2 linked regions of the Canis lupus familiaris genome follow. The protein of the gene in region 1 interacts with the protein of each later gene in a pairwise test. Links are inferred from orthologs where the notes say so. Each region holds a gene or a part of one and is shown in the gene's direction. Other genes may lie near its edges.

Region 1 (3,962 bases):
TCTCCTACCTCCCTTCCCCAGAAGCCGGGAAGAAATAAACTGCAGAGAAGGTTCTAGATTCCCGCCAGTGGGAATAGCTACAAGCATGGGGGCATGACTTAAGTAGAAGGAGACGCAGGAGCTCTGAGTTCTGCTAACTTCCCAGTGTGTCCTTGGCCCTCCATCACTTAGAGGTGCAGAGGTCCCAAACTGGCTGCCAGCTACACAGCCTGAGAGCAGTTTTATTTAGCCCACGCAGTGTGTGTGTGTTCAATTTTGTGCCAGCTGCCATACAACTTTTAAACAAAGACTTCAAATATTCTGAATTTCTAGCTTCTCTTGAAATAAAAAGAAGTTGGGGGGTGGACATTTGGCAAAGTACTTTCAGCCCATAAAAATCAGGGGAGAAAGCTCCTTCCTTCCTCTAGGTTGATGCAATTCCATTCTACAGCTTGCTGAACAAGAGCCAGGGGGAATGGGCTTCAGCCTCCACCCCCCCCACCCCCCCACCCCCCCCACCCCCCCGTGTGCCCTTCTGTGATGCACAGCTCACAGGCACATTTGGTAGCAACTCGCTCAGGCCAAGTGCTCCCTAGTTCTCTACACTCCTCCCCACTCAATGGGTCTCCTAGGCCTTTGAGTTTAGGGGCAGGAGTGAAGAACCCGCCTCAGGAACTCCCCACTGCCCAGAGGAGTCATGACACGGTCTGCCTCCTGTTCTGCCCCTAAAGCTAGCAGGGGGTGCTACAAGCTGACCAAAGTCAAGTGCAGCTTCGGCTTACTTCTGCTTTTCTTTTTGCCACTTGGGAATGTTGAGCTCGGTGGTCACTTCCTGCTTAAGCTAGGTCCTCACTGGTGGTATGCAGAGCGAGAGGGAATACGGTCTGCTTCAGTCTTGGGGACCCCTGCTTCCAGGACCCCTTGCTAGCCAGGGGAGTTGTCAAAGCACTGACTTCAATGTCATCCACCACCTGGTCATCCTTGGGGAAGCATACATTTCTTCCCAGAGCCTCTCAGAGCCATGAAAGGCCTCAGTCATTTTAACCTTTTTTGAGACTGCCAATATTTTAGAAAACAAATATCTTCCAAGAAATTGTTATTCTGATAACAATATGCGTTAGGTGTTTATATTAGCAAATTAATGCTTTTAAACACAATAGTATGATGTAAGTATGCTATTCGAGAGATAAATATAGGATTTATCGCAAATACTGATTCCTAGTGTGCTCCAGGAAGTGCGGTCCAGGGATGAGATGCAGAATTAAAGTTGTGTCTTAATTACCATCCCTCAATCCTATCAGGACACCTCTGGGAATGCCCATATCAGATTTGGAGATGGTTTCCAAAGCCTAAATCCAGGTCATAGGTCCTGCCGCTGCCCAGAGGAAAGGCATCCCTGAGGGCTTTCAAGGTAGAGACTTAAGGCTTTCCCAAAGGAGTGAGTCCGAGCAACCAGAGGTGAGAGACGGAGAGAGTAGGAGTTCAGCTGGCAGGACCTCATCTCCATTAGGCCACATGGATTTGGTCTGTTCAGCCTGGCGAATTCTATAGCTCACTGTTCCAGGAGCAGGGGAGCAGTCTTGGAATTCAGGAGGCAGGTGCTCCTACATCCTTCTGGCTCCTGGTTTCAAATCGTGGTGTTTGTATGGGAAATTCAGAAAGTAGAGGGAGAGGTGAGGGAAGGGATACAACCCCTACCTTTCCATCCAGTGTGGAGCTCTGGTATAGTGTCTTACCCCCGTCCTGATGTCCTTGGGGCTTTAGGGATAAGTTTGTAAGATGCTGGCAACAATAAAAGGCCTGGTGACTCTACCTTGCTATTCTTCCCTCCAAAAATAGACTCTGTGCCTGCGTGTGGGAGGATTCCAATCACTGCGGCCTTCCCCCTGCATCCCTCCTTCCTCCACCCCTTGCCACTGAATTGCAGTCCTGGGGAAGCAAAGCTGAATTTCCCCCAGGTCAACTTGCCTCTCCTCCAACCTCCCAGGACCTTCCTCCACTCCTGTCTTGTGATGTGCATGACCCCCCAAGGATTCTGGTATCTACAAAGACAGCTGTGGGGTCACTAAGAAGCTTCAGACTTTTTCTTTTCAGTGTGTGGCTTGTTGGGCTAAGATTGAGGCAGAACTGGAGGAGAGGTTGAGGGAAGGAGGGGGTCAGCAGGCCCTGAGCCCCGGAGGGGAGGGGTGTGGATACTAAGGAGTATGCTCCTAGGTGGCGGTGTCTCTAGCCCTTTTGCCTCAACCTGCTTCTCTGTTTGCCACTGGCGGTGTTGGCGCTGCTCACCTCGGGTAGGAGAGATTCCTACTCCTCCTGAGGGGCAGAGGCGAGGTGCCTTGTATCCCGCCCTGGGCTCGGGGTTCAGCTCTGTGGAGCTCTGGGATGGCTTTCTAGCTTTATTACAACATTGGTCACCACCTCATCTGCCAAACTCTAAGTTCCTGGAGGGTAGGAGATCTGTCTCATTTGCCTTTATCTGTCCCCTGTCCTCGATGTTTGGCAAAGTGCTTTTCCACAATAGGTGCTCAGTAAGTATTTACAGAAGTGAGTGTCGCCACACATAAGGTTTTAGGCTTCCTTGGCTCTTTCCCCAATACCTTTATCAAGGACAGCAGGTGGTATGGAGAGAGCTGCTCTTCAGGTTTGAGTCAGAAAAATGACACATTCAACCCCGTTAGCATTACCTGGTGCCCGAGGAAAGCATCTTCCCTAGCCCTCAGTGCTGGTCCTCCCTGCCTCCCCCTCCCTCAGCCAGTCCTCACCCCCTCCCTCCTCTGGTTGCACAGCCCATATACCCAGTGCCAGCAGCAGCCTCTCGGATTGTGTCCTTCCCCTTAGAACCCCATCCTGGGGCTGATTACTGGAGTGGAAGCTGTCCAATTGACTTAATTCTGAGTTCAGTGTCACGTTCAGAGAGGAGAATGGGCTTTGCTTACTGTTTCCCTCTCTTGCACGACTGGGTCTGTGCCACTGATGACACTTGGCACTGCCCCTTCCCCGCCCGAAGGCCAGAAGTGCCAAAGCCTTTATATATAAAATGCAGAGACTCAGCTTCTCAGGAGAAGCAAGAGCCCTGCTGGGAGAGTGGACCTGGCCTGGCAGCTGACCCTGTGAGGCTAGGAATTCAGTGCGTCCCCTCTGACCCAGCATCTTGTGCTACAGGCTTCTTGCAAAGGACCAACAGCCTGGAAGAGAAGAGCCGGCTTGTGAGCGCCTTCAAGGAGAGGCAGTCCTCCAAGAACCTGCTTTCCTGTGAAAACAGTGACAGGGATGGCCGTTTCCGGCGCACAGAGACTGATTTCTCCAACCTCTTTGCTCGAGGTAGTCCCCGCCAGCCTACCTTTGCCACCCCACTCCTGTCCCCACACCCCCCTCCCCTCCCCACGCCCCCTCCCCAGCTCCCTATCCTCCCCACACCTCCCTCCCCTCCCCTGTCGCAGCTAGTACTATCCAGTAGGTTCCTCATTTGAGTGTCTTGATTTCTTCCTGAAACTTTACTTCTTTTATCAAAACTATCATTACTTTCTGAACTGTCATGAAACTGTGTGTCCAGGATTTAAATATAATATACCCCCTCCTTCCCTACTGCCCAGGACTTCGTTTTGGAAGCTAGATGAAAGCAGTCAATAAAAACAGTCAATTCTAAAGACACTTGCAGGGACATATATGGCTGCATAGACTCTCAGAATCTGAGGGAATCTTTACACGTAAGACAATCCAGTGAGTCCCGTAATAGCATTTATCCTCCAAGGTCATCAACAATGACAAAATCACTCTGGGAAACTGTGTGGCTGGGCCTAGTGATCAAGCACTGTTCTAAAACTCATTTTCGTTTTGGAGATCTTTCACTATTATTGCTGTCCCCACAACTCTGGTCTCACGAGGTACTGTCTCTCCTGAACAGCTTGAAGGTAAACCTCCCACTACTCCCTTCCATCAACTCTCCACGGGCCATAGAGGCCAGACCCAAACAGTCAATAAGA
Region 2 (4,554 bases), on another chromosome or scaffold:
ACATCTGTTCAGCTAAGAATTTTTCTCTTTAGGTGGGAATTTGTTCATGCCTCTATCCACCCACTACCCAAGCATCCAGTTAACATCCAAAACAAACCTCACCTATCATGCATGGATGGGTCCTTGTTGCTTCAGGAGTCACTGTTTACGTCTCCTCTGGCTTACTTACAGGGGACAGACAAAGAATACCGTTAGAGTTGTTTTGGTGCCAAACAATATGCAATACTTTTGAGAAAGAAATGCTCAGGAAAAAAAAAAAAAAAGCTCTAAATGAATAACTAAAAAGAAAAAAAAATAACTAAAAAGAAGATGTAAAGGCGGACAAAGAGGGAAAGGCGGTGGGCGTGGAGAGGCGACTGCAGGGTCCTCCCAGCCCAGGTGGGTGGCGGTCCTCTCCCCTCCCGCCGGGCTGGGGTTTGCGCGGGAGGCGTCGGAGGGGCGGGGCAGGGGCGGGGCGGGGGCCCGCAGGGCTGCAGCGCGAGGAGCCGCACTTCCCAGACTCCGGCGCCTGGATTCCGGCGTCCGAGCCCGGCTGCTTTCCTTCCCCCGCCCCACCCGCCTCTAACACACGCGCACCTTTTCCCTAAGAATCCTGAGCCCGGGAGCCTGCGAGGAAAGCAGGTGTCAGGCCGTCTTCGCCTCCTCCGCTCCCTCCCCGCTTCTCTGGGTCTCCGACCTCACAGCGCGCCCCCGAGGGCAGGGGCCGGGGCGGGGGCCGGGGTCACGGGGCTGCAATCGCGGGCGCAGGCTTGTCCGCCCAGCCCACCCCGCACCCCGAGGCGCCCGGTTCTGCACCTGCGAGACCCGCGCCGAGTTGTCCTGTGACGTGGACCCGCCCTAGGACCCGCCCTAGGACCCGCCGGAGCTCGGACAGCGCCGGCGCCGCGTGGGTGCCGCCACCGGGAAGCCGAGAGGGTCCGCGGGCCCCGCGCCCCGCCCCGCCCCGCCCCGTCCCGTCCCCGGCCTTCCCGGCTCGCGGCTCCTCCCAGACCCGGGGCGCACGGGGCTGCCGCCGTCGGGGCCGTCGGGGCCGTGGGGGCCGTGGGGGCCGCTGTGCAACCCCGGCGTGGCTGCGCAGACATTCCGGGTTCTCGGGTGGGGACGCCGAGGCTTCCATCCCGGCCGCGCTCCCGTCCCGGGGGCTCGGGGCTCCAAACCCGCCTTCCTCCCACCACGGTCGGTCTTCGGGGCCCCCGCGGGGTCCGGGCGCTAAGCCTGGGGACAGGGGACCGCGCACGACCGCGATCCAGGGATCCCGGCCCGGCGGGAAGCAGGGCCCCCCGACACGCCCCCCCCGCGCCCCGCTTCCCTCGCGCGGAGGCCGCCAGGCTGGGCAGGGGCCCCGGGGGGGCGCGGGGCGGGCGGGCCGGGGCCGAAGTCCGGGAAGGGCCCCCGCCAGGTCACGGGGGCGGCCGGGGAGGGGGAATCGCCCTGCCCTTCGGCCCCCGGGCGGCTAGTGGGCGGCTAGTGGGCGGCTAGTGGGCGGCTGGGCGGAGCGCACCCCTGCGACACCCGCCTGGGCACCCGCTGCGGCCGCGGCTCCCGGGCTGCCATGGCGCGTCCCGTGAGGGTGAAGACTTGGGTGGAGGAGAACCGGGCCTCCTTCCTGCCCCCGGTCTGCAACAAGCTCCTGTGAGTCCCAGGCTCGCCGGCCGCCCCCGGCCCTCTGCCCCCCCCCTCCGTCTGCACCCCTCAGCCCTCACCCTCCAGCCCCCCAAGCCCGCGGAAAGGGCCGACCATCCTCTCGTGCCTTCGGAGGAGGGGGAGGGCAGGCCGTTCCGGTTCCACCACCTTCATCTGTTCCTCTTTCGGACGACTCTGCCCTGGGGATTGTGACCTTGGCTTCCGGATGATGGCTGGGTGACTGGGAGTAGATGAGATGCAGATGGCAGGCCACCGCCCCTGTCCCCAGGGCTTAGAAATAGCTCTGCAACCCCCCAGGGACTCTCAGAAGTTTGGGGAGGGTGGTTTTTCCATTGCCTCAGAACTGCCCTAGAACCTGCGGGCAGAGGGTGAAGTCAGAGGATCAGCTCCTGCGGGAGAATCTGCATCCCGTGCTCTCCCCAGGCCTGTCCCTGGAGGCGGGCATGCTCTCGCAGCAGGCGCGGGCTCACCTCGGCCCACAGCACCCAGCAGGGCAGGTGGTGCTCAGCTGCAGTCTTTCTCCAGCAGACCTTCCCCGTGGCCGCTTCACCTCCCTCCCCTGCCCTCACACCTATGGCGGGGCCTGGTGTGCTCCCCAGCTCCAGGCTCACACTGCCGTGTCTGCCGAACATTCCCAATGGTGTGGCACCCCAAACCACACAGCGGCATTTGCACACCTTGGCAAAACAGAGGCCATGCCGGGTGCTCTCACCACTCACCTAGTCCTCACACCAGCTCCGTGAGGTGGGATTCTAATACGTGACTCCCCCAGTGTCCCTCAGCTAGTAGGGGCCAGGTCCAGATTCCAGCCCCTAGAAAAACTTGACTCCAAAGTCCACACTCTCCCTCTCAGCGCAGCACAGCACTATCATGGGCTCACACCCAGCATCCCCCTCCCACCCCGGGGCCTCGCGACTTCTACCACTGTTGGGGCCCTCACCCCTTTCCTCCACTTCATCCCTATGCAGCCTGGTTCTCGGTCCCCCACGGCACCCCAACCGAGTCTCGTGCCCCTTGCTCCTCCCTAGCCCTCCAGATACCACTCTGGTTCCACCCTTGTCACCTTCACCCTGGGTGTTGCCCCTGCCTCCAGGCCCCCGCCCCAGGCCTCCAGCCTAGCCCCAGTATTAACAGGCACAAAATGCAGGCCCAGCCTTTATTCCTTCAGCACGTGTTCCCTGAGCTCAGTACTTGCCAGGCACTGTTCTGGACACTGGAGACGCAGTAGAAAACAAACTGACAGTCACTTCCTTGTAGCACTGACGTTCGGGTGAGAGGAGGCAGCCAATACTTACAACAGACAAGGAGTGGAGGCAGGCAGGCACAATGGGCCACCAGGTGGAACAGAGCCATGCCCCCAAATGCACACGCCGGGTTGGCTAGGGCTGTCAGGGAGAGTCTGCCCCAGGCCTCTCCTGGCTCCTGGTGGCTTGGTGGCAGTCTTGGCCATCCTTGGCCTCTGCTGCAGCACCCCGATCTCCATCCTCATCTTCACAGGGCACTCTCCCTGTCAGCGTGTCTGTGTCTAAATTTCCCCTTTCGATAAGGACTAGAGGCCTAGCCAATTCCAGTGTGACCTCACTGTGGCTTCACCAGTTAAATCTGCAGTGATCCTATTTCCAAATAAGGTCACATTCTAAGGTCCTGGGCATAGGACTTCAACAGATGAATTTGGGGTTGGGGGAGTCATATGAGACTGCTGGGGAGCGGTTTGAGCAGAGGAGGGACAGGATCTGGCTGAGGTACTCTAGATGATTGGCTGAAGTAGATCTTGAGTGGGCTCATTCCAGAACTTTCCGTACGTGCCTAAATTATATCCCAGTAAAGTTGACTTAAAAAAAAAAATTTCTGAGGCACCTGGCTGGCTCAGTTGAAAGCGCATGCAACTCTTGATCTCGGGGTCATGAGTTCGAGCCCCACATTGGGTGTAGAGATTACTTAAATAAAACAAAACAGTAAAAACTTTCCTAGGCTCCCTGGCACACTTTAGGCCAAGATCAAACTCCTTGGCCTGTAATTAGAGATCTTGAACGAGGCCAGGGATCCTGGCTGATGAAGGGGTTGATCCACCACCACACTGCTCCTCTGTACTAGGTTAGAGGATATTGGGGACACACACACAAATACAGTGAGACAAGATGCAGAAAGACACAGGTATACATACAGTCTCTCTCACACACACGCGCACACAGAGTCTTAGATACGCACAGCTATACTGAGATGGGGGGGGACAAATGTCAGAGCCTATAGGGACAATAACACAGAAACAGCCCTGTCACCTCTCCCAGGGGTACCCAGCTTCCTTCCAGGCCACCCACAGGCCCCTGGACACCTCCTGTCCTGTCCCCTGAGCTGCTTCGGGACCTCTTCCCCCTCATTCATTGCAGGCACCAGAAGCAACTCAAAGTCATGTTCATTGGAGGCCCCAACATCAGGAAGGACTACCACATTGAGGAGGGTGAGGAGGTAAGCCTGGTACTTCCCACTTCTTTAAGAGCCCTGGGGGAGGAGACACTTGCCAAGCAAGAGCTGGAGCCCGTGGACAGGAGAGGGGGTGGTCCAATGGCTGATGGATGAAGGGACACCACTGAAATCCCAGGGCAAAACTGCTGCCTGGAAGTTGTGGGCGTACAGTGACAGCTCCGCCCTCTAGCACTGCTGGGGGAGCCCCAGGAAAGAGCCCTGGCTCTATAGGTCTGAGAGGGAGGGTCTCACTGCTGGGCATCGCCCCCTGGCCATCCATGTGCCAGATGCGGTGCCCTGGTCTCCTCCTCCTCAAATCTGAACATGTAAGATTGGCCTCCAAAATGAGACCCAAATACTGACAGGGACCTGGGTGCTCCACTCGGGTCCCAGGAGATGAGTTCTCTGGAAAGAGTTGGGGCTGGGAGGCCCCCTCGGTATCTAGAG

What was found.
Region 2: the proteins of GAD1 (region 1) and HAAO interact in a two-hybrid assay, tested with the Homo sapiens proteins (4 studies listed by BioGRID and IntAct). The two-hybrid records come from large-scale screens. The link is inferred for Canis lupus familiaris from reciprocal best matches to the Homo sapiens genes GAD1 and HAAO.

The regions. Positions count from the first base shown.
Region 1 is NC_049257.1:15,670,674-15,674,635, forward strand, and holds part of GAD1 (glutamate decarboxylase 1), read left to right. Parts: intron 1-3,141; coding exon 3,142-3,300; intron 3,301-3,962.
Region 2 is NC_049231.1:46,436,738-46,441,291, reverse strand, and holds the start of HAAO (3-hydroxyanthranilate 3,4-dioxygenase), read left to right. Parts: upstream 1-1,464; 5' UTR 1,465-1,552; coding exon 1,553-1,632; intron 1,633-4,031; coding exon 4,032-4,110; intron 4,111-4,554. UniProt on the Homo sapiens protein: Catalyzes the oxidative ring opening of 3-hydroxyanthranilate to 2-amino-3-carboxymuconate semialdehyde, which spontaneously cyclizes to quinolinate.